3 linked regions of the Pelodiscus sinensis genome follow. The protein of the gene in region 1 interacts with the protein of each later gene in a biochemical or structural test. Links are inferred from orthologs where the notes say so. Each region holds a gene or a part of one and is shown on either strand. Other genes may lie near its edges.

Region 1 (8,077 bases):
AGGGCCCAGCTATGGGAGGGGAAGTGTTGAAAAGAGGTTGTGCACCACTGCTATAGACAGCCCATGAGGAAATTAATAGTTCTGTCTTCACAGCAGGGCTTGAACAGTATGCAATACATAAGGACCAGGTCCACACATTAAACAAGAAGAATGCAAAATATTGAATAGCTGCTCATTATTTGAAACACCATCCATTTTGAGTACTTCTGAGGCAAGAGTCTTGTGTAAAAATGCAATGTCATTACAACTCTTTAATTAGTCACAGTTAACTCATGATTAACTCAAAAATTAATTGTGATAAAAATTAACCATGGTGTTAAACAATAGAATACCAACTGCAATATTTGGATGTTTTTCTATATTTGGATGTTGATTTCTTTTATTACACAGAATACAAACTGTTGAGAGGCAAGTAGAATAATACTAAATGCAAATTTCATCTATACATTATGTATTGTTTATACACCGAAACAAAACCCCTAAACCTATAATTAAGTAACTTTCTTAAAGTCACAAGATCAACTACTGAACATACTCAACAATTGCAAAATGCTAGAATTAGCTTGTCTTGAGCAGCCTTAATTCATCCCCCTGGTGTATATACACTATGGCTATGTCTAGACTGGCATGATTTTCCGGAAATGCTTTTAACGGAAAAGTTTTCCGTTAAAAGCATTTTCGGAACAGAGTGTCTAGATTGGCTCGGACGCTTTTCCGCAAAAGCACTTTTTGCGGAAAAGCGACCATGGCCAATCTAGACACGCTTTTCCGCAAAAAAGCCCCGATCGCCATTTTCGTGATTGCGGCTTTTTTGCGGAAAACAAATCTCAGCTGTCTACACTGGCCCTTTTGCGCAAAAGGGACTTTTGCACGAATGGGAGCAGCATAGTATTTCCGCAAAAAGCACTGATTTTTATAGTAGGAAGTCAGTGCTTTTGTGGAAATTCAAGTGGCCAGTGTAGACAGCTGGCAAGTTTTTCCAGAAAAGCGGCTGATTTTCCGGAAAAACTGGCCAGTCTAGAAACAGCCTATAATACAATCTTTAATTACAGGCAGTCCCCAACTTACGAACAGTTTACGTTCCAAACACCTGGTCGTAACTCGATTTGGTCGTAAGTCGGAAATACCCTTAAACGTGCTGCCTGCACTGTTCGAAAAACTTGACGTACATGGTTCTCAACTCGAAAAATATTATAATGGGGTTAATGGGAGGTTGATCGTAAGTATGGATGGTCGTAAGTCAGTGTGTTCGTAAGTCGGGGAGTGGCTGTACATGTAGGGCTTAATTATGAGTATTTTGCCAGGATTTCTATGTGTATCCAGCTGGGTCATGAGCAACAGAAGCATAATGGCTTTCCTTGGTGTCTAACCATATAAGAGAGAAATGTCCCACTTGTGGGGTTTTTTCTATATAGTACCTTCTGCCAGGAACAGCGCCCCTTATCCAATGCTCAGATTAATAAAGTTAATCTCCAATTCTACTTTAGAATTTGTTCATTTCACCTTCCACTCACTAATCACGTAATCCTGCTGTTATGCCTGATGAATAAATGATTCATACATACATTCCAAAATGGAAATAACTTTGTTTAGAAAAGAGTAATATTAATAGTAATAAATAATAATGCATACCTCTTACACAGTGCTTTTTATCATTTGATAAGTGGGTTAATTAGATTAATGAAGGTATAAATACATTGTAGAAGGAAAGCCATATATTTATATGGGATATATTCAGAGCCATATCTTTACTAGTCAACTCATGGACCCAAAATCCTGTGTTGCCAAACCATTGTCAGTTTCTTCTGATAAACAAAAAAATCTTCAAGTTTGTATCTGACACGAGGGTACATGAATTTCAATATACTGCACGGCAGTTTTGTTAATGAGACGCAGTTGGAACAGAGACTATAAGAACTGGAAAGTGGTAATTAAGATGGGAGTAAAGTTTAATACTGTGGTGTCTTCCAAACAACCAATAATAGGTTTAGGTTTGTTATGTACATTTTTTAAGTTGAGTGGCTAAAGGGAGATCACTTACTTTAAAAAGGTCCAAAGAATCTTTGGCTACATGGACTCCAATATTTCTAATTAAAGTGGTGAATAAAACCAAGTTAAATTATCTTCAAAGGTCTCTGAATGGCCCTGGGCAAAGTCTAGAGGGAGAGGCTCTGATTTATTATAATTCATTTTGAATCCAGAAAATTCTCTAAAAATGTTACACTGCTTCAATATGTTGGCTAGGAACACTATAGGTTTACTGGCAAACATTTATATATCTTCAACATATCTAATAAAATCTACTGTTCCATATTGCTTATTCCTTTACCAAAAATACCATTGCTGAAATGAATTCTTTGCATCAGAGAGTCTATAATAAGTGAAAACAGTAAGAGAGATAAGGGTTAGCTCTGTGTAGTACTATGTTTCAGCTGCAGACTTTTGCAATTATAACCATTAATAAGGATCTTGGCTGCTGTGATTGGGTACATTAATCTTATACAAGTAATGAATTTTGGTCCAAATCCCATCAGTAGAAAAGAAGAATGATTACTCAAGCCGATCAAAGACCTCTTTGTCATCTCCAGTTAGATTTGCTGAGGAAGTATTATTTAATATAACAGAGAAAAATGTGTTTAATAATCTTATAAAGTTATCAGTTCCATGTTTATTCTATATAAATCTTACTTAATCATAGTGGGCTAGTTCAGGAAGAAATTGAATGTTCAGGAGTGCAGTGGGCCTCCTTAAAGGTCCTTTTTCTTGTTGGTATAGTAGCAAATGTGGCAACAATGATAGGTTCATTTTATGCAATACAATCCACGCAGGTGGACTTCCATACTGTGATCAAAAGCTTTCTGGTAAAAGATAGTAAAGCTGGTCAGTCTTAGTACCATCTGTGGCCCTTAACTTCAAGGCTCTTCATAGTTTAGCTTCACCTTATATATCTAATCTCTTATATCCCTTTGCTCTCCTAGTTATGGTAGCATCTTACAAGCTCTTTTGTGGCCTTCTTCCATGCTATCTGACATATATGGGACATCCTCCCCAAGCAGATTTACATAGTTGCTTGCCTTTCCTCTTTCATATTCACTAATGGTAACAGGCAGGTGGTCTGTGTGACATTCATTAATATCTCTTCCTCACCTATTCTAACTTTTTAAACCTATATAAATGATGGAGTGGGTTGTCATAGGGGGTTGAGATGGCAGTAATGTTACCAGTATTGTTTTGCTACTAAGCTGCAGGCAGAAATCAAATGTGAAATTGCAGAACTCCAGCTACAATTGTGAAAAATCCATTCTCATTTCTGAAGAGAGAAAAATGCCCTTTTCCTCTTAGAAAATGCACCACTTCCATTCATTTATATATTGGTCTGTGCAAAATACAAAATGACTGATAAGAAAATAGTTTCAGCTAATTTGATTCAGGTAAAAAGTTCTCCATTGGTCAATATGGAACAACACTTCATGAGAATGCTGTGGATTGTTGGCTATCCACCTGGCAAACATTTGGCAAAGATAACGTGAAGCAAAACTAGGGAGTTCAGCACAATGTTGTCATCAGTAGAAGCCCCCATGTGTAACAGAAGTCTGTGGAATAAGCCTAATGAAACATCTGCAGCCAGGCTGATTTTTAACTAGAAATCATCCATCGTAATATGCATGTAAATTCTGATCTCACAGTAAGAATCCCAGAAACTGAGAACACTTATCATATTTGGAAAAGTGGCATTCCTTTAAATATTTCAGAGGAGTAGATGTGTGAGTCTGTAACTTTAATAATGAGTACTCTTGTGGCACCTTACACTAACAAAGGTATAGGCTCATGTGCTTTCATGGTAAAAGTACATCCGATTAAGTGATTTTTGTGGCAGAGGTCTAGGAACCAGACAACTAGAGGTTCTGTTTCTACCTCTCCCACAGGGTTCTTTTGCCATCTTGGGCAACTCAATTAGGTGAAGTGCCTGCAGATACAGAGGCCTGGTCAGCACTTAAAATGTAGGTTGACATAGCTAAGGCACTCAGTGGTGTGAAAAATCATTATACACCTGACCACTGGTAGCTTCGGTGACCTAATCCCTGCTGTAGACTGATGCAAGAATGTTTCTGTCAGCCTAGCTACTGTTGCTTAGGGAGAAGGTGTTCTCTCCCCACTGGTAGCTTCGGTGACCTAATCCCTGCTGTAGACTGATGCAAGAATGTTTCTGTCAGCGTAGCTACTGTTGCTTAGGGAGGAGGTGTTCTCTCCCCTTATGCTGTGTCTACACTGTGGTTTTACAGTGGTGTGTTTGTGGCCCTGTAGGGATGCTTCTGTAGCACCCATAATGTAGACATGGCCTGACACCCGTGAATAACTCTATATATGTGAGTAATCCAGGACAGGTGTAAAAATTACACCTACTCCTCACAAGTGTAAAATTACTCCTGTGCAAAAGTATAGGCAGCATCAGGACCTTTAAACCTTGTTATTTGTTAATTAATCTGTATTTAAAAATCAGGCTAATCTACAATATTTAGGTCTTATTTCCATGGGGAAATTACAATAGTGGGATAATTACACACATTGAATTTATGGCAGGAGATTTCTCCGTGTAGACAAGCTGCTCAGTCTCCTTTCTCTCTCCCCAACTTTCCTCTGCTTCCCGCATGAGGTCTACGGGGAATCTCTGCCCGAGCATAGAGGACATTGCACAACTCCTGGGAACCCGAGACTGTGGTGAGAACAACTTTAATAAAATAATAATAATAATTAATAATAAATGCAAAAGTTACCAGCCTTCCTGTGTGCAGGGGGACATGTGAAAACTAGCAAGTGTGTGTACCCATAAGACCTCGATGGAAAATAAAAGAGTAGCACAAATATATGACTTTTTTTTAACCCGTGCTTTTTAAGAAGCCACGTTCCGGATTTCGGAACCCTAGGAGCCGGTTCCTAACACACCAAATTAATCCAGCCATGCAGGAGGAGCACGACCCAGAGGGGCCCCAAGGCAGCTGCAGCTGCTGGCGGGGGTGGGAATTTGGAGAGGATCCCTCGCCCGGCTGGTGTGTGTGTTATATTGGCAGTGGGGTAAGTGGAGGCTGGGCGGCTCCGACTGCCTGACGCCAGTGAGACCAGATCAATCCAGGCGCAGAGGCAGAGCGAGTGCGGGGCTGCCTGGCGGCTGGAACCGTAAGAGCAGCAGCAGCAGCAGCGCCTCTTCTTCCCGCTCCGCCGCCGGTAACAACTTCGCGTTTCTTTGCCGGTTTCTCCCAAGCCGCTGCCTGGGCGGGGACCCTTCTTCCCCCGCCGCCGCGTCCTAGGGCTTGCTGGCTGGCCCAGGCCGGGCAGGGCTTGCTGCAGCCAGGGAAGTGGTTTGAATGGTGGCTGCGCTTTGCCTTGTTTCCCCCACCCCCGGGCTATTCCCAGTCTCTGGCTCAGGTCGGGGCTGCTTTTCACCACGGAGCAAGGAGGGACGGATTTTTTTTTGCGGGGGGGACAGGGGCTTTTCTCCAGCATGATGGCGTCTCTGCGGGAGCCCGGAGAGAAACCTGTGACTTCTTTGCTTTCTGCTTTGCTGCCTTGTTTGGTTTAAAGTTTCTGGGGAGTTTCTTTGTTGGACTGGAGGAAGAGAAAATAGCCCTACCAAAAGCTCTCTCCTTCCCTCTTCCTCTCTCCCTTTTTTCCCCTTCTCATTAGAAAATCCTGCTGCTTCAGACTTTTGTCCTGGCTCCATTGTGTTCAAAGCCAAGTGGGAGAAACTTGCAACAGTTTCTGAAAAGCTTTGGCTAACACAAGGCAAATGCCCTTTGTTTTTATTTGAGGAAGGCATTTCTCTAATGACTTGGCTAATCCAAGTCTTTGTTCCTCCTAATGGATTTAACTTTTTGCAACAAGATTTGTTTAGAGGTCAAGGAAAGTTCACTTAAAATTCTTCTGATTATTAAGCGGTTTCACTGCATGTGATTTTTCTTCTACGTGATTTTCAATTTACTTATAGTTTGACAGGATGAGATTATCCAGCTACATATGTATCTTTAAATTTTACTACGATATGCCGGTGTACAAGTGTTCAGTTGTGCTTTTTAAAGTAGCTGGGCCAGACCCTAATGTTTTTAATGAAGACAATCCGAGTTTTGATTAAGAACTGTAGTATTTGTCCTTTTGTTAGTAGTTAATCTAATTACAGAAGATGTGCAGGCTGGTTTTGCAGTTTGCTCATAGAATGTATGCTTATTTATAGTTTACTTTTAGGAAGAGGGTTTTTTGTGTATGTATATTTATGAAAAATAACCAATGCATCATGGAATAGGTGCAATTCTGCTTTTCTTGGGTGGAGCATTTAATGGTCAGAAACATCTAATTTTCCTTTTTTCATTATTTCAAATAAAAACAAACCTATCCATCCTTATTTTTGGCAGATGGAGCATTTTAGGTAAAAGGGTATGTTTGACAGGTCTGCATGTAAAACCTGGCATCCCTTGCCTCCTCTGACTACTTCCATGTATGTAAGACTTAGCTTGTGTGTGATTTTTGTACATTACACAACATGAAACTTCGAACTGAGTATAACAACCCGGAAAGACCACTTTTCTTTATGTCTTCATGCAGTGTGTGAAACAAGGAGAGTAAATCTGTAAAGAAACTTGCTGTTAAAACTGATTTTAATCTTGTCTATGACTGCATTAGATGTATTGAAGGCTTGCTTCCAGTTCCAACTTGCAACATAAAAATATCAATCTGTATAGGAGTTCTGTGCTGGGCAGTTGGTAGAAGATTCTCATTACACCTTTTATAAATACTAAATACTTCATTTTTTGTCATTTCTTTACAGTGGCTGACTTTAGTTTTTTTTTTTAATTTTTAGATGAAAAATACTTAACCAATTAATTTGATATTCCTGTGTGGCTGTTCAGTCTCTCATTTGTAGTTAATTTCACACTGTAACTAGGATCTTGACAGAGATTTCTTTGGAGGTGGGTGATCCAGGAACCTATAAGGATCAGTTCAAGGAAAGATCAGGTTACTCTAAGGATGGGGATTTGTCCTTGCTTTATTTTGACCCCCTCCATTTCATTGATATGTAATCAAATACACTTTTTTTCTTTATGCTATTGTCTACTTTTCATTTTATGTATTTTTTTTAAGGTCGTCTGATCCAATAGCATAGAGAAAAGAAACTAGATAAGCAGTTTCTGTGTAAGTAGTGGCTATCAATTCACATCTTTGAGAGTTGATGGTAAATTAGTGTTCAATTCAAACTAGTAAATAAAGGGATGAAACATAGAGACAGGTGATAACATTGCTGCTCCAGTTCGTAATTACTGGAATGATTTTTACAGACTCTCCTTAAATTCGAAGCCTCTCTACGTGTGCAAGTTAAATACTGAAATTTTGAAGCCATGTTTTAAAAAACATCTGAGTAATAAGTTGGGATGTTGTCATATTCTAGTTCAAGTTGTGTGTGTACATAAAAGCCTTCACTTCTGTAGTCTTACAAGGCTAATGGAGGCATCATCTCAGCTTTATAAATAATGTAAGTTGTGTATAATGTGCAGTCCTCAGGGACTGCAGAGAAAGCATCATTACCAGCCTTTTCAGCCTGCTGGAGATCTTAAATTGATTTACAGCACTGAACTGGTGCAAAATGATACATCAGAATGACATGGGGTCAACCTGTAAAAGTCTGTGATGTGAGCCTATTAGTTCAGTCATCATAATTAAACCACATTATGGGGGCACCAAAGCAACCATGTGTGGTGTGGTGTTATGCTTCAAAAATGGGTGCTGGAGAAGTTAAAGAGCACTATATGTGTAACTTAAAACACCGAATAGAAATCAAAATTGAAATTTTGAAGCACAAATGTGTCCTGATTAACCACTTTTCCACAGTCACTAGCACCTGAAATGGGGAATGACCATATCTCTTATTGGATTGGAGGAAACGCTGAATTATATACAGTTTGAGGTTCAAATATGATCAGGCTTTACTTCACAATACAACAGCAAAGTGATGAAAGCAGGCAAACAGTTTAACACTTTTTCCAGTCTACTAGTGATCTTTATCAGAAGTAGTGACTCTGAGCATATCTGT
Region 2 (7,230 bases), on another chromosome or scaffold:
CTGGGCCAGACTCACCCGTGCACTCCGCCAGGACCGTGCGTGGGACGGGCAGTGCCCTGGGATCTGCGTGTGCCCGGGCCAGCCCTGCTTCCCGCCGGACGGTTCCCCACCCCACTTCCCCCCACCCAGCTAGTTCTGCTCCCCCCGACCTCCTCCCTGCCAGCCCTGCTCCCCACCGGTCGGTTCCCCCCAATCTCCCCCAGCCAGCCCCGCTCCCCCCGACCTCCTCCCTGCCAGCCCTGCTCCCCACCGGTTGGTTCCCCCTGATCTACCCCAGCAAGCCCCACTCCCCCCGACCTCCTCACGTCCAGCCCTGCTCCCCACCGGTCGGTTCCCCCCGATCTCCCCCGGCCAGCCCCGCTCCCCCCGACCTCCTCACGTCCAGCCCTGCTCCCTACCGGCCAGTTCCCCTCGATATCCCCCAACCAGCCCTTCTCCCCCTGACCTCCTCACATCCAGCCCTGCTCCCCCCGACCTCCTCCCTGCCAGCTCTGCTTCCCGCCGGATGGTTCCCTCCGATCTCCCCTGGCCAGCCCCGCTCCCCCCGACCTCCTCCCTGCCAGCTCTGCTTCCCACTGGATGGTTCCCCCCACTCCCCCCGACCTTCTCACAACCAGCCCTGCTCCCCCCGACCTCCTCACAACCAACCCTGCTCCCCCCGACCTCCTCACATCCAGCTCTGCTCCCCACCAGTCGGTTCCCCCCAACCTCCTCCCTGCCAGCCCTGCTCCCCACCGGCCGGTTCCCCTCGATCTCCCGCGCCAGCCCTGCTCCTCCCCCCCCCCCATCTGAGATCAGGTGTATCTGGTATTTTTGTCAAAATCATCTAGAAACGCTACTTACAGCCCCCAGCCCTGCCCCCCCTCCCACCCCTGCGGCCTGACTCCTGAACACCCCACAGCTCCCTGTCCAGGGCCCCCTATGCACTCTATGCAAGTGTCCTCTGTTCTGGAGGTACCTCGATGGCCACCCTAGTGTGTGTGCATCTCTGCTGTCCACGGCTCCAATGTGTATCCTAGGCCCTGGGCTTCTCCCAGCAGCGGGGGAGTCTCCAAAGAGAGGCTGGGTTTGGAGGCAGAGTGTAGCAGAAATTTGGCCCTGAGGCCCTGCCCTGATGCAATTTCCAACCATTCTCAGGTGGCAGGGCTCAGGGTGCTCCATTTACCAGCTGAGAGATGGCAGTGGAGCAGAGCAGGCTGCTGGGTCACTCTGCTTTATGCCGCAGTGAAAGGGGGAGCCCCCGACCCCTGCTGCCCCCTGCACCAGCCCCCCAGTAATTTCTTGTGTCGTATCTCTCGGGGGAGAGGGTGCAATGTGGGTGGGAGGGCAGGGGTGGAACAGGGTCAGGAAGAGGCGTGGCCTGACTCCTGAACACCCCACATCTCCCTGTCCCCCTCTGCCCCCGCCCCCCTCGTGCTGGCCCCATCCGGATGGTCTATCTGGCTGTGGGCATGTTGGCCTGATGCCTTTGAAGAGGCTTTCTCTATTTATATACATTCCTCCAGCAAACAATGAGTTAACGAGCCCTGAACTCGACCTTTTTAAAAAAGAATCCAGTGGTGCTATATAAGAGCCAAACTCCTCTCTCCCAGAGGGCCGCATGGAGGAGGGGGAGCGGCTCCAGCCATTGGCTGGTTAGAACCAGAGTCAAGAATTGCTTCCTTACGCCGCCCAGACTGTGCTGTCCTTTCTCATGGTCTGAACCTTCCCCCCACCCCCCCCCCAGCCCCCCATTCCCTTTGGGCCTTCTAGCCCGAGACCCCCAGGCCGGCCGGCGCTGAGCTTCCCGTTAGCTGGCGGGCCGTCCCCGTGACTCCGTCGGATTTCCCGGGCGCTCCACGTTGAGCGAGGTAGGACACGATGCGCCTGCCGCCCTGGGACACGGGCGGGCGAGGAACAGCCCTGGGAGGCACTGCTCTCATCAGGCTGCTGGGATTTCAGAGCAGGAGCAAAGCTAGTGCATGAGATTGGAGAACCAGAGGCGGCCCAGGCAGCTTTCTGCAGGCCCAGCCTTCCTCTCCCCCTCAGCACAGCAGCGGCCCCGTTTATTGCACAAATTCCAGGGACTCTGGGGCCACAAATCCGGCCCCCCCCAACCTGCAAGGAACTGAAAGCGCCACATGGTTACCCACAGGCAAGAGTCTTTCACAGACAAAGAGTCAAATGTGGCCATTTGCCTGTGACCGAAACAGCAGGTTCTGAAAACCAGAATGAAACGGGATCTGGAAAAACGAGCGGGCAGGGCCAAACAGGCAACTGATGCATCAAAGTTTTAGTTACAGGGGGATAAGGGCAGTAGATGGGAGTCGGGACCCTCGGGTTCTGTTCCTCGCTCTGGGAGCAATGGCGGCCTAGTGGCTACAGCAAGCAGGATGCCTGGGTTCTGGTCCCAGCACCGCGTGACTGTAAGTAAGCATCTTTCCCTCCGCTATCAAGGTGTGGGCCCAGGATATCGCTGTAGAGATCACATCTCTGCAGCTCAGTTTTGTGTCTACACTGGGACCTAGCACAGCTCTCTCCACTGTGTTATACCAGGCTGTTCCACGGTCACACGGGAGGGAGAGCCAGTGACTTCATTACAAAACAGGAGGCGATGCCGGTCCAGCCGTGGCCCCCCGCCCCCTGCTCCTACCCCAATGGATGAGCTACGAGGCCAGGATGGAGCAGTCGGGGAGAGGCCCGAGGTGGGAGGAGAGATCCCTGAATGGGAGAGAGGAAGAGTGAGAAGCAGCTGACTGAGAATGACCCAGAAAAATGAATTTAAAAAGGCTAAAGGGGAAGTGGTGTTTCCGGTCCCCCTCGAGCCCCTGCCAGCTGTGCCAGCCACCCACACAAGCCTGGTGCTACAGAGCAACTTCACAGACATTTGTGGTTAGGCCGGAAGTAGCTCTCCCCCCTCCCCCCGTGGGAATCTGAACACCAGGGTTAACATGTGACTCTTGCAAAAGGGGCCCTGGAGTCTTTGGGACTAGGCTTCAGCATCCCCTGTGAACGACAGCACGCCCAGCCCTAATGGCGTCTGGGGGCAGCATTCTCATACGGGCAGAGCACCTGCACTTCTGCAGCGCAACGCCCCCTAGCCCTGCCCTGGGGCACTGGGAGAGCACCCCTGCACTTTTGTGCAGCACAGCGCCCCCTAGGGATCATTGGGGTCCGCATTGACCGTGAGGGCAGAGCGCCTCCTGCTGAGTCACTTGCAGCACAGCGCCCCCTAGGGATCATTGGGGTCCGCATTGACCGTGAGGGCAGAGCGCCTCCTGCTGAGTCACTTGCAGCACAGCGCCCCCTAGGGATCATTGGGGTCCGCATTGACCGTGAGGGCAGAGCGCCTCCTGCTGAGTCACTTGCAGCACAGCGCCCCCTAGGGATCATTGGGGTCCGCATTGACCGTGAGGGCAGAGCGCCTCCTGCTGAGTCACTTGCAGCACAGCGCCCCCTAGGGATCATTGGGGTCCGCATTGACCGTGAGGGCAGAGCGCCCTCTGCTGAGTCACTTGCAGCACAGCGCCCCCTAGCCCTGCCCTACGGCACTGGGCTCAGCACAGAGGCTATGTCTAGACTGCAAGCCTCTTTCGAAAAAGAGCATCTAGACTACTAGTACTTTTGAAAAAGCAAGCTGCTTTCTCGAAGGAGGGCACCGAGGCAGTCTGGATGCTCTCTTTCGAAAGAGCACAGTTTGCATGACATAGCGCCTTTTTTCGAAAAAAGGCATTATTCTTCGTAAAACGAGGCTTTTCACAGCCGAAAAAACTGCCGCGTTCTTTCCATTTACGCGGCGGCAGTCTAGACGCAGGGGAAGGTTTTTCGAAAAAAGGCCACTTTTTTCAAAAAAACCCTGCAGTCTAGAGTGACAGGAGCAGAGCTTCTCACCAATACGTTGCTACTAACACGTTCCCCAGTTGCCTCCCAGCCCCACTCACAAGTCACCCCTACACTGGCCCCACCTGAGCTACCAGAATCGCTCCCAGAATGCCCTCGCCTGCTCCCACTCCGGCCAAGTAAACTAAGTCAGCTCGATTGCTGCCAAACCCTAGGCTCCTGGCTGCTCCCTGAGGAGGCTGGGTTCAGACACAGGTCCCAGAGCTGGTTTTGACGGGAGACTGAGGCAGGGCCGGGAACACGGCCTAGCCACACACCCTGGCGGGGGGGGGGGGGGGGAGTTGTTTGGCCGGGGCCTGGGAGGGAGGGAGAACAATCGTGATGGAGCAGGGGCCGGTGTGTGCAGGAGGAAGGGAGCTAGGCTGTGGCTGTAGGCTCAGCAATAGGAAATGCTTTATTAGCTGGGAGTGGTGGAGAAAAGCCAGGCAGGAAGAGGCAGTAATAAGAAACATTTTTTGACTTCTCCCACATCCAGAACTCAGAGATCTTGCCAATCCGCCGCGTTTGGGCCACAGGGAGAGAGAGGCCAGCCCCTGGGACTGGGGAGGGAAGCTAGAGGCACACTCCCCTCTCGCCAACTAGGGCAGGCGACAGCCGCTGGAGTAACCACCAGAGCCAAAGCTCTGCCGGGCCAGCGTCCCTTTGCAAATCTGGCAAGGTTGCTGCGTGGAGAGGGGAGGACGGAGGCTGACCCGTGAATCTGCTTCAGGCGGAAGCTCGCAGCGCCTGGGGGGAGCTGGAACCGTGTCCGTCGAAGCCTGGGATCCAGACTCTGTAACCGAAGGAGAATTGCCTCTGGCCCCGGGAACCGGTCAGCACCGCCCCACTGGCAGCAGACAGACAGCCGGATAGAAGACGCCCGGATCTGGGTCAGGCAGGGTTCCGTTGCGTCTCCAGAGGCGCTGCAGAGCCTGCCCGCCCACACGCAGCCTCTCCTCTGGGCCGGTGCTGTCAATGAGAGGGAAGGAGCCGTAGGTGAGTTGGAATGAACTGCTCTCTGGGGGTGTCGGGCTATTCTCAGGTTGCTACCAAAAGCGGAACGCGTGCAACTAAATGGGCCGCTCCTCAGCTCTCGGGAGAGCGCTGCTCGCTCACAGCAGCTGCCCCATATTGTAGCCCCGGCCTCACCCCCTTTGTTTTGTCCCCAGTTGGCTTCCTGCATCAGACTGTTCTTTGGGTCCCCCTTTCTCCACGATGGAGGAGAGACTCTCCGCTTTAGACTCAGATCCACTTTCAGGCACTGCTTGCTTCTGAGATATGCTCTGTGGCTTGAAGATAAATCAGAGTAACCACATTGAAGCCTGCAGGACTTGCACTGCTGCGCTTAGAATCAGGCCTTGTCTCAGTTGCCATCAGTGGGATAGCTCTGGATTGACACCATGGTAACTGAAGTCAGAAACGGGCCCTGAGTCCCTTTTCAGAAGATGACACACTATGTAAACGACCATGATAGGCTGTGCAATGGATCTAGCGCGGGACAAGTCGTGCAATAAAATCTTGCTGCCAGACGGTAGGATTGGAGAGTAGCAAATGTTTTGCAGCTATTTCCAAAAGGCGTTAGGAGAAATGTAGCAAAGTGCAGACTCAATTCTGGTAAATTAGTTGAGATGATGGAATTACAAAGAACTGGGAAATGATTGATATGACAGAGTCGAAGCACCCCGGCTTCTGAAAAGGAAAACTCTGTTCACCAAGCTATTCAAATTCCTGACCGTTTTCTATAAAAGAGCAGACAAAGGAGAACCAATTGACACGATTCATTTAGACTTTCCAAACGGCCTTTTACAAAGTTCCTCATAAGAGGTTACTGAGGCAGCTCAGTAGCCCAGATATCAGAGGCAAAGGGCTATCTTGGGTCAGAAATTGGGTAAGAGATGGAAAAACAAAGATTACAAAGAGATGGTCACCAAAGCAAGTTACCAGCAGGGGCTATTTTGGAGCTGATGTTATTTAATTATATTAATTACTGATCTGGGAACGAAGGAAACCAGGCAGAGTGCACAATTTGCAGAGAACACAAAATGATTTAGGTTAGGCAAGACCGTGTGGAGCTCCAGAGGGACCTAATCAAGTTGAGGGAACGGGCAACATGGTAGCAAATGAAATTCAGCCTAGGATAGAACGCCTCCCCTGCACAGAATTCCTAAACTGCTCAGGAAAGAAAGTCAGGTAGCTCGGCCTTAGCGTAATGTCCCGCCATGTGGAGAAAGCAAATGGAACACTGGGGTGTGCAAGGAAGGGGCTGTTGCTGTCCTGTAGCTGGATAGGATATTCGGGGCTGGAAGGGGGCACGCATCCCAGGAGGGGGTCAGAGAGCTTTGCAGCGTTTGTTGTTTCTAAAAAGCTTCCAGGCTCGAAAAAAATCCCTTTCCCGTTCTCGGCACAAACCAAAAATCAGCCTGGTCCTCCTGTTTCTCTCCCACAGAGAATTTAAGAGAAAATAAACATGTGGGTGGGGAGGGGGCGTCTGGGCTAATTTTCTTTTTTTTTTTTTAAATAACAAAACCTGTTTCTCTGATTTCTAGTGTAGCAACTGCCTGGAGCACAGGGTAGCACAGAGCCCGTGCTGTGCAACACGGCTGCTCAAGGCATCTGCTGGCTCTGGGCACGTTGCACCAGGCATGCCAATGTTTCTGGAACAAATGCCGGGGCAGCCTCTAGGGCTCCGTTCAGCTCCGAAATGGGCCTGAACTAGACCTCGGAGCCAGGTGAATCGGATCTCTGGCTCCAACTCTGCATTGTCTGCAGCCCTAGGGATACAGCATGTGCCTTGGAGCACACCAGTGACCAGCTCCCGAAAGCGTCAGTGGTAGATGTCACTGCCCAGTGCCCCCGGCCAGCGCTGTACTGATGGGCCGGAGGGAGGAGGGGAATCTCTGCAGGTCTCCGATTTAGGTTCGAAGCCCATTGAACTAAACAGAAAAACTCCCACTGAGTTCAGTGGGCTTTTGATCTAGCAACCCATGATCTAGCAACAAATCTAGCCTGGTTTGTCGAGGGCTGAGCACTCCCCCGGCTGCCTCTGACCTCAGGGGGAACCTCGGCACCTCCAACACCAGCCGAAAGCAGCTGTGTCCAGGAAACTGCTTACATCTGCTGCCTCCTGGCACAGGGCTGACACGGGTTGCGGGCCATGCGCTCATGTGCGCTGGGAGCTACTGATTCTCAGGGAAGAAAAATAAGGAACCAGGTCATGCGATAAACAAAAGAGGCTTTTCTGCTCAGGGTTTGCTGGGCGCTAACCCTAGATCTCGCCCTGGTGCGCCTGGGACTGCACAAACCGTGCATCTCATTTGACTGGGGGGGACGGGGATTGCTTTGTTGAGGAGTCTTGTTCCTGCTTTGGTTTCG
Region 3 (7,913 bases), on another chromosome or scaffold:
GACACTGAGGGCACGATTACATAGCATGGCTAAAGCAGAAATAAGCTACGCAACTTGAGCTACGTCAATTGTAGCTTAAGTTGAAATAGCTTATTTTGCCTTTGGCGCTGTCTACACAGCAGGAAGTCTTGAGTTAGAGCGCTCTTCCTCCAGCTTCCCTTACTCTTTGTAAAATGAGGGTTACAGGAGTTGGAGTAAGAAGTCCTCCAGCTCGACATTATTTTGACATGTCAAAATAACTGCTTTCTGTATAGACGAGGACTATGTTATTTTGGAATAATGCAAGTTATTCCGAAATAATGCTACTGTGTAGACATAGCCTTAGGCTACGTCTAGATTGCATCCCTTTTTCGTAAAAGGGATGCAAATTAGACGTATCGCAATTGCTAATGAAGTGGGGATTTAAATCTCCCCCGCTTCGTTAGCATAAAAATGGCTGCCGCTTTTTTTCAGCACGGAGTTTTGCTGGAAAAAAGCACCAGTCTAGACACGGATCTTTCAGAAAATAAAGCCTTTTCCGAAAGATCCCTTATTCCTCTTAAAATAAGGGATAAAGGATCTTTCAGAAAAGGCTTTATTTTCCGAAAGATCCGCATCTAGACTGGTGCTTTTTTCCGGCAAAACTCTGTGCCGAAAAAAAGCGGCAGCCATTTTTATGCTAATGAAGCGGGGGAGATTTAAAAATCCGCTTCATTAGCAATTGCGATACGTCTAATTTGCATCCCTTTTATGAAAAAGGGATGCAATCTAGACGTAGCCTTAGAGTAAGGTAGAACAGCACATAGCTAGAGGCAGAAAAGTAGGTGCCTAAGGAACTTTTATCCTGGAAAAGTAGGTGCTGAGTAAGTTTAGGTTTCTTAAGAGTTATATGTGGGTTTTGCAGATCACAGTGGAGCCAAATCTGGTATTTAGATGCCCCAAGTACCTTTGTGAAACTAGGCCTTAGACTCCTTTCCTACTGTTGGCTCTTCAGCCTGTGTGAGATCCTAGGGAAGCAGAATTTCAGTGTGTTTTGAAGCTAACTACTAGTGGCTTGATCCAAAACCCATAGAAATAAATGAAAAGAAGCTAATTGACTTCAATGGGCTTTAGATCAGAGATGCCCAGCACCTGTGAAAAACAAGACCACCGATTGTCTGAAAAGAGGGATAAAAATATTTTTGGTGTTTTCAGATTCTTTGACCAGTATTAAAAAGCTTTTATATTTCTTTAAGAATGAGTTTCTCAAACAATAACTCTGCCCATGTTCTTTGGTTTCAGAAAAATATTTAGTTATTTAATGTTGAAAAGCAGCTGTAATATGAATATGTGCACCTTTCATAAAAATTTTAATAACACAAAGAACCACTCATTCCAAACAGTGTAAAGGGAAGACTCATAATGGTTTTATTGAGGTAAGAATGACCCAGTGGAATTATGTCAATAGCAGTATCTTATACAATATCCAGGTACAATGTATAATTCTTCTGATAGCCTCTCTAGGGCTTAAAAAGCTCTTCCAAAAGATCTTGCACAATTCCCAGATATATCAAAAAGCCATGTTCAAGAATAATTTACAGTGAGAATTGCAAATCATGAATTCTGTGTTGAAAGGAGGGGCAAGGGACATTCTCTAGCAAAATCTTGTAGGTTTTGGCAAAAACAGTTACAAACTAGTGCATAAATAAAGCAGATAGAGTTTTTGTTTGTTTTTAATGAACACTTGATTCTGAAATTAAACTTTGCAGATAGCAAGATCCTATGTGAATTTAAATAGATTATGAATATTATAGTGGTACAATGTCTAAGGCATTGTCCAAACATGAAAGAAACAATCTTTGCCCTGAAGAAATATGACAAATGTATTTGCTAATACACATTTATGTAGCTTCTGCATAGTGCTATACAGCATATTATCAATTGAAGGTTTTATTTTAAATATAGGTACGTCAGACATTGATGTTATGCCAGTATGATCTTCCTTCTCTGCCCTACATATTCTTACAATACTACTTTTAAAAATAAACAAAAGGAAATGAAATACTAAAAACATTAGACTAGTTTAACATAATGGATAAACCAGTGGCTCAGTATTCTGCACTACCATGTGGAAGTCTGTCTAGATTCAATTTCTGATCTCATTTTCTTATACCCTGGACTGGGAGTTCTGCCATCTGTCCTCCTCAAATGGAAGAACAATATGGGACTCCAAAGTTGGGTGGTTTCTTTAGGTCCAGTACAACCCAGAACTATGATAAGTGTGTACTGAATGAAACCCTAAGGAAAAATAAAATTCTTAAATTGATTAAATTAAAAAATAAAAAGCCAAAACATTCACCTCATAGGCAAAAATGTAGTCTTCTAATTAAACCAGCTATTATATAGGATGTAGTTGTAGCAGAAATGTTGGAGTGGAATCTCTTGCATTGAGCCAGATAATGGAGAGGTCATTCAGTTTGTATAGGTGTACAAAGCAATACAACTTATCAGGAAAAGTATATATTGAGTATTGAGGATATAGTTTTGTCTGGATTTTTAGTACTGAATATTATGTTTTCATTAGTATTCTAGTTTTACAGGTTGTACAGTGCTAAGTGCCTGAGCTACATAGGACCTATATAATGAAACTAGTTGGGTGAGAATCAGAAACAGTATCAGATATAAGTAGCGGTCTGCTTACAAAGCCAGTAGTTTCCTCACTATCTCAGTCTTCATGAAAATGTTACAATGGCATCTCCAAATCATAATTTTAAGTGGGAGTACCTTGCTCATTCTTAGCTACTTAAATGTTCTCCTTAATTTAGGGTATGCAATGTAGTTATAGTCATGTTGGTCCCAGGATTGTCTCATTAATTTAGGACACTTTTGAAAGTTGCCTCTTCGGCTGTTCATTGAGATACCCTCCCTTAAATCCTCTCCCTGCTTTAGAGTGCCCCTGCTGTTGAGTGTGTTGAAAGGCCTGGAATTCTTTGGGAGCCTAAAGACAGAAGCATTACACCATTAAATAGAATTGGGATGTAGCTATAGCAGTCTTTTGAATTTCAGAGGGGTGTAGGAATATCCCTGACTTTTCTATTGCAACTCAATCACACATAAATAGTGGATTTTCTGAGTTGTAAGATGGGTTAGAAAAGTACCTTCCATCAGTAGTCTCATCCTACTAGCAAAACAGGATATAAATTTAGGTGAAACGGGTATCACGATCTAGCTCCAACCTTGTATCCCATAAAGTTGTTTTACTTTTGAATCTTTGATTTTTCAGTATATAAAGCTGTATCTCACCTCACAGTAAGAATTGCTTACTCTTTTTTCTACCCCTTGACTCACAATAAAATGATTTATGCCTATATTTTCCCAAGCTATTTGGCCCATTATGAGATACGAGTCTCTCAGGTCAGCATTTGGGGACCCTCACCGCTGACACCAGCACTGAGGTGAGCAGGGGAAAGGGTCCACTCCTCATTGTTCCCAGCAGGAGCAGCCCAGGTAAGCTTGAGCCCTAAACCTTGGTCCCCCCTTGACTCCCCTCAATCCTGAGCACTCTCCTGCACCCCAAACCACTCACCCCCAGACCCATCCCACAGCCCACACCCCCAGGCCAGAGCCTGCACCCCCTCCTGCACACCAACTCTCAGCTCTTCCCCAAAACTGTTGTCCCCCTCCTTCACCCTAAACTCCTCATTCCCTGGCCCATCCCAAAGCCTGCACGCCCAAGCCAGAACCTATACTCCCTCCTGCACACCAACTCCTAGTCTTTTCCCCTCCTGCATCCCAAACCCAACACCCCCAGCCTTACCCCAGAGTCTGTATCCCCAGCTAGAACCCTTGCACCCCCAATCATCTGCCCCAGCCCAGTGGTCCCTCCTGCACTCAGAACCCCTTGACTCCACTCCCACCACATTAATTTTGTGATGTGCACCAATATGAAGACGATGTATTGAGTGGCACACATCAGAAAATTCACTCAGCTCAGGGGTGGAAAAAATTAGAGGGAACACTGGTGAGGGCCTGGGGGCATCCCAGTGGGGGGGGAGGCAGTAATGGACAGACACTCCCTTGAAGTGGGGGCACCCCCTTCCCCCAGGGGCAGTGAGGACATGAGGGCATTCCAGGAGGAGGGGGCACACAGTGGGGACAGACATCCCCTATCCCTCAGTGGCAGTGAGGCCCTGGGGGCATTCCAGTGGGGGACACACAATGGGGATAGGCACCCCTTCCCCCCCGGGGCAGTGAGGACATGGAGGCATTCGGGGTGGGGGCACTTAGGGGACAGACATCGCCTTCCTGCTGGGGCAGTGAGGACATGGAGGCATTCTGGGGGGGGGGGACTTAGGGGACAGACCCCGGCTTTCCCCCGCCGGGGTAGTGAGGACATGGAGGCATTCCCGGGGGGGGGGGCTCTTAGGGGACAGACACCACCTTTCCCCCAGGGGCAGTGAGGCCCTGGGGGCATCCCAGTGGGGGGCACACAATGGGGATAGGCACCCCTTCCCCCCAGGGCAGTGAGGACATGGAGGCATTCGGGGGGGCACTTAGGGGACAGACACCGCCTCCCCCCCCCCCGGGGCAGTGAGGCCCTGGGGGCATCCCAGTGGGGGGGGCACACAATGGGGATAGGCACCCCTTCCCCCAGGGGCAGTGAGGACATGGAGGCATTCCCGGGGGGGGGCTCTTAGGGGACAGACACCGCCTCCCCCCCCCGGGGCAGTGAGGCCCTGGGGGCATCCCAGTGGGGGGGGGGGGACACAGTCGGGACACGCAGCCCTTCCCCCGGGGCAGTGAGGTCCTGAGGAGGAGCGCAGGGGCAGGAGAGCAGCGGGGACTGGGACGGGGGCCCCCACCCCCCACTGGGCGCGAAGCGGCGAGCAGGCTCCGTCCCGGAGGAAGGGAGGCGGCTGCCGCCGCGGTAACGCGCTGTCCCGGGCTTTGTTGTGCTCGCCGCCAGGGCCCCGGGCAGGGGGCGGGGGAAGGCGGCGGCGGCGCCTCCTCCTCGGCGCTGGCCCCGCTTATGGCGACGCTGGGCACATCCGGGCTTCTCTTCGTCCGGCGGCCGCCGCCGCCGCTGCCCTGAGCGCCCAGCCCGACTCCATTAGCGCCTCCCCGCTTCCTACCCGGCCCCAGCGGCAGGGGCAGCCCGGGCGAAGGCAGCGCCGAGCCCCAGCCGCGGCCGGAGACATGTCCAACCAGGGGGCCCGGAGGAACGGGCCCGTCAAGCTGCGACTGACAGGTGAGGAGGGGCCGGGGACGGAAGGCGGGAGAGGGTGGCGGAGAGCGGGCGGCTGGGGGGGCCAAGCGCCGGGCTTTGTGAGGAGACGGGCAGGGGGGAGGCGGCTGAGGGGGAGCCTGGTGGGGAGAAGGGGGTCGGTGGTTCAGGAGGGTAGGGGTCGAATTGGGCGGGGGCCGTCGTGGCTAAGGTGGGGGGGGGGTGAAGATTTGGGGTGAGGGAGCTGGGGGGGGGGCAGAGCGGGCGAGTGTGGCTGCGAAGGGAGTGGGGGTGTGAAAGGAGAGACCCCGGGGAAGCCCCTTTCTCTGTTGTCTAAGCCCCGCAAGTCCAGCTGGAGGGGTGGGTGGGACCGAGCTCCCTCCATGTGTCTTTGAGATTGAACCTGGGGCACGGAGAGGCCTCAGGGGAAACAAGAAGTAAACTCCCTGCCTCCCTCCTCTCAGCAGGGGGGTCCGTGGGCCACGGTTTTGCCCGTCGCCCGTGGGACACGTTGCTGTGGCCACGATAGGATTGTTTACTCTAGGGTAGTAAACACGCCTGGGTTAGGAGGAGAGGTGAAGCCCTGGGCAGTGTGTGTGGGGTGAGGTGGAGGTAGTGGAGCCCCTCGCCTCCCTCAATCAGAATCTCGATTAAACCTGAGCTCATTAGATGTATTTCTCTGTAAAATGCCGGACCACTCTCTCTGTTGTTGTTGTTGAATATGTTGTAGTATTTAGGGAGGCCATTGTAACTTTTTGGTAGGTACCTTAGGCTGTCTCAGAGGAGTAGCTGTGTGTGTTGTTACTTGAACAACAATGTTTCAGAGGGGTCGCTGTTAATCTGTAATAGAAAAAAAACTTAACAACAACACATAGTCCTGCAGCACCTTAGAGACTAACTAAAATGTAGATGGGATCATGGGTGGATTGTGTCCATAAAAGACATGATCCCATCTACATTTTTTGTTAGTCTCTAAGGTGCTGCAGGACTATTCGTTGCTTTCTAAGTTTTTTTTTTTTAACAAACAATGAGTAGTCCTGTGGCTAACAAATGTATAGTATTATGAGCTTTTGTAGGTAAGACCCACTTTGTCAGATGATGATATTATATTTTTTTTGCTAGTCACTAAGGTGCCACAGGACCACTCATTGTACCTTAGGTTGTTTCTCACCCTCTCCGTCTTCTCTGTGTAATCGTCGAACTATCAGGCCCTTTGTTTTGATCTTTTGTGTTGCTGTTTTCAAGCCAGTTTCCTCAGTTGAGATTGTAAACAATTCATAGGATATAGGCCATCATACTGTAGGAAAAAAGCCCTTAAAAAACCCATGGCCTTTAAAAATGTTTAGTTTACACCATAAATGTAAAAGTAAACTATTTCAGTCTGTCTTCTGGAAAGGAAGGAAAACATTATCTGTTTCTGAATACTTGGAATGAGCTCCTTTTGTAGTGATGAGGGCAATGTAAGTAGATAAATATGGAGAAACACTTATAAATATGAATAAAGCTTGTCTGCCTTTGAAAAATAATCACTGAAGACTTGCGAGGAAACAGCAAATTGAGAAAACACATTTTGTACTCTAAATTGTGACTTCAGTATATGAAAATACAAGATTTAAGAAAAGTATTAAAAATAGTTTGTCTTCCAACAACTTATTGAACCTAGTTAACTTATTTTGTAAGGCACAGCTATTAGTTCTTTCAAAAAAGTCTAAAAATAGTTGCTGCATTTTTTAAATTATGTAATTTTAATGGTATGTGCAGTATTTTCAGTTAACTTCTAATAAAAAAATTAAAGTTACCGCATTTTAATTTTTTAAAATTCGAAGTAGAGAAAAATGGCTTTTTTCTAGATCATGTAGATTTTTTTCTTATAATTGCTTACATTCTATTTTGGAACTTATTTAGATTAATCTTGTAAAAGGGGTTTTTATGCAGGGCCAGGATACTGCCCAGGTGGTGAACTCCTTAGAAATAAACTTTGGAAATGAGTGGAGCTGGACTGATATGTGGGACAGTGTTAGTTTAAAAATACTGTTCTGCACTTTTGTGTCTGTGGCTCCTTGCTTTTTGACTGAGCTCAGAGAAACTAAGGTGAGTTTAAAAAAATGCTCTATAATCCTGCCTTGGCCTAATGGAAAACTCTAGACCACTGGTCTCCAACCTTTTTAAGCATGAGATCACTTTTTTGAATTTAAGTGCAATCCAGGATCTACCTCAAATCCAGATAGCCCCCCTTCTTTGTGCCCCTTCTCCAATGTCCTGCCCCTGATCACTCCCCCCTCTCTCTCCCATTCTCCTTCCTTTTCATCAGGCAGTGGCAGAGATGGGGCACCTGCTCTGGTCCTGGGCTAAAGGATTTGGCGTGTGAGAAGGGCTCTGAGCTGAGCCTAGGGCAGGGAGTGGGGGTACAGACTCTGTAAGGGAGTTTGGATCCAGGGGCTCAGGGCTAGAGCAAGGGCTTGGGGTGCAGGAAGGGTTCATGACCTGGAGTAGGGGCTCAGAGCTAGCTCTAGCTGGACACTGCTTACCTCAGGTGGCTCCTGGGTGGTAGTGCAGTGAGGCTAAGGCAGGCTCACCTTTGTCCTGGCCCTGCACCACTCTCAAAAGCAGCCAGCAAACTCCCTCCATCCCAAGCCCTGTTGTGCCCCCTCCTCCATTCTGTGGAGCTAGAATATAGGGTGGGTGAGGAAGCACCCAGAGATCAGCGCCCCCTCCTCTCCTTGCCCTGCCC

The links.
Region 2: of the proteins of SMAD1 (region 1) and ACVRL1, one has a biochemical effect on the other in vitro, tested with the Homo sapiens proteins (2 studies listed by BioGRID). The link is inferred for Pelodiscus sinensis from reciprocal best matches to the Homo sapiens genes SMAD1 and ACVRL1.
Region 3: the proteins of SMAD1 (region 1) and SMURF2 form a complex in vitro, tested with the Homo sapiens proteins (2 studies listed by BioGRID and IntAct, with this or other methods). The link is inferred for Pelodiscus sinensis from reciprocal best matches to the Homo sapiens genes SMAD1 and SMURF2.

What each region holds. Positions count from the first base shown.
Region 1 is NC_134715.1:51,249,380-51,257,456, forward strand, and holds the start of SMAD1 (mothers against decapentaplegic homolog 1), read left to right. Parts: upstream 1-5,058; 5' UTR 5,059-5,223; intron 5,224-8,077. UniProt on the Homo sapiens protein: Transcriptional modulator that plays a role in various cellular processes, including embryonic development, cell differentiation, and tissue homeostasis.
Region 2 is NC_134729.1:5,532,167-5,539,396, reverse strand, and holds the start of ACVRL1 (activin receptor type-1-like), read left to right. Parts: upstream 1-4,216; 5' UTR 4,217-4,854; intron 4,855-7,230. UniProt on the Homo sapiens protein: Type I receptor for TGF-beta family ligands BMP9/GDF2 and BMP10 and important regulator of normal blood vessel development. On ligand binding, forms a receptor complex consisting of two type II and two type I transmembrane serine/threonine kinases.
Region 3 is NC_134730.1:20,923,913-20,931,825, reverse strand, and holds the start of SMURF2 (E3 ubiquitin-protein ligase SMURF2), read left to right. Parts: upstream 1-4,834; 5' UTR 4,835-5,154; coding exon 5,155-5,206; intron 5,207-7,913. UniProt on the Homo sapiens protein: E3 ubiquitin-protein ligase which accepts ubiquitin from an E2 ubiquitin-conjugating enzyme in the form of a thioester and then directly transfers the ubiquitin to targeted substrates.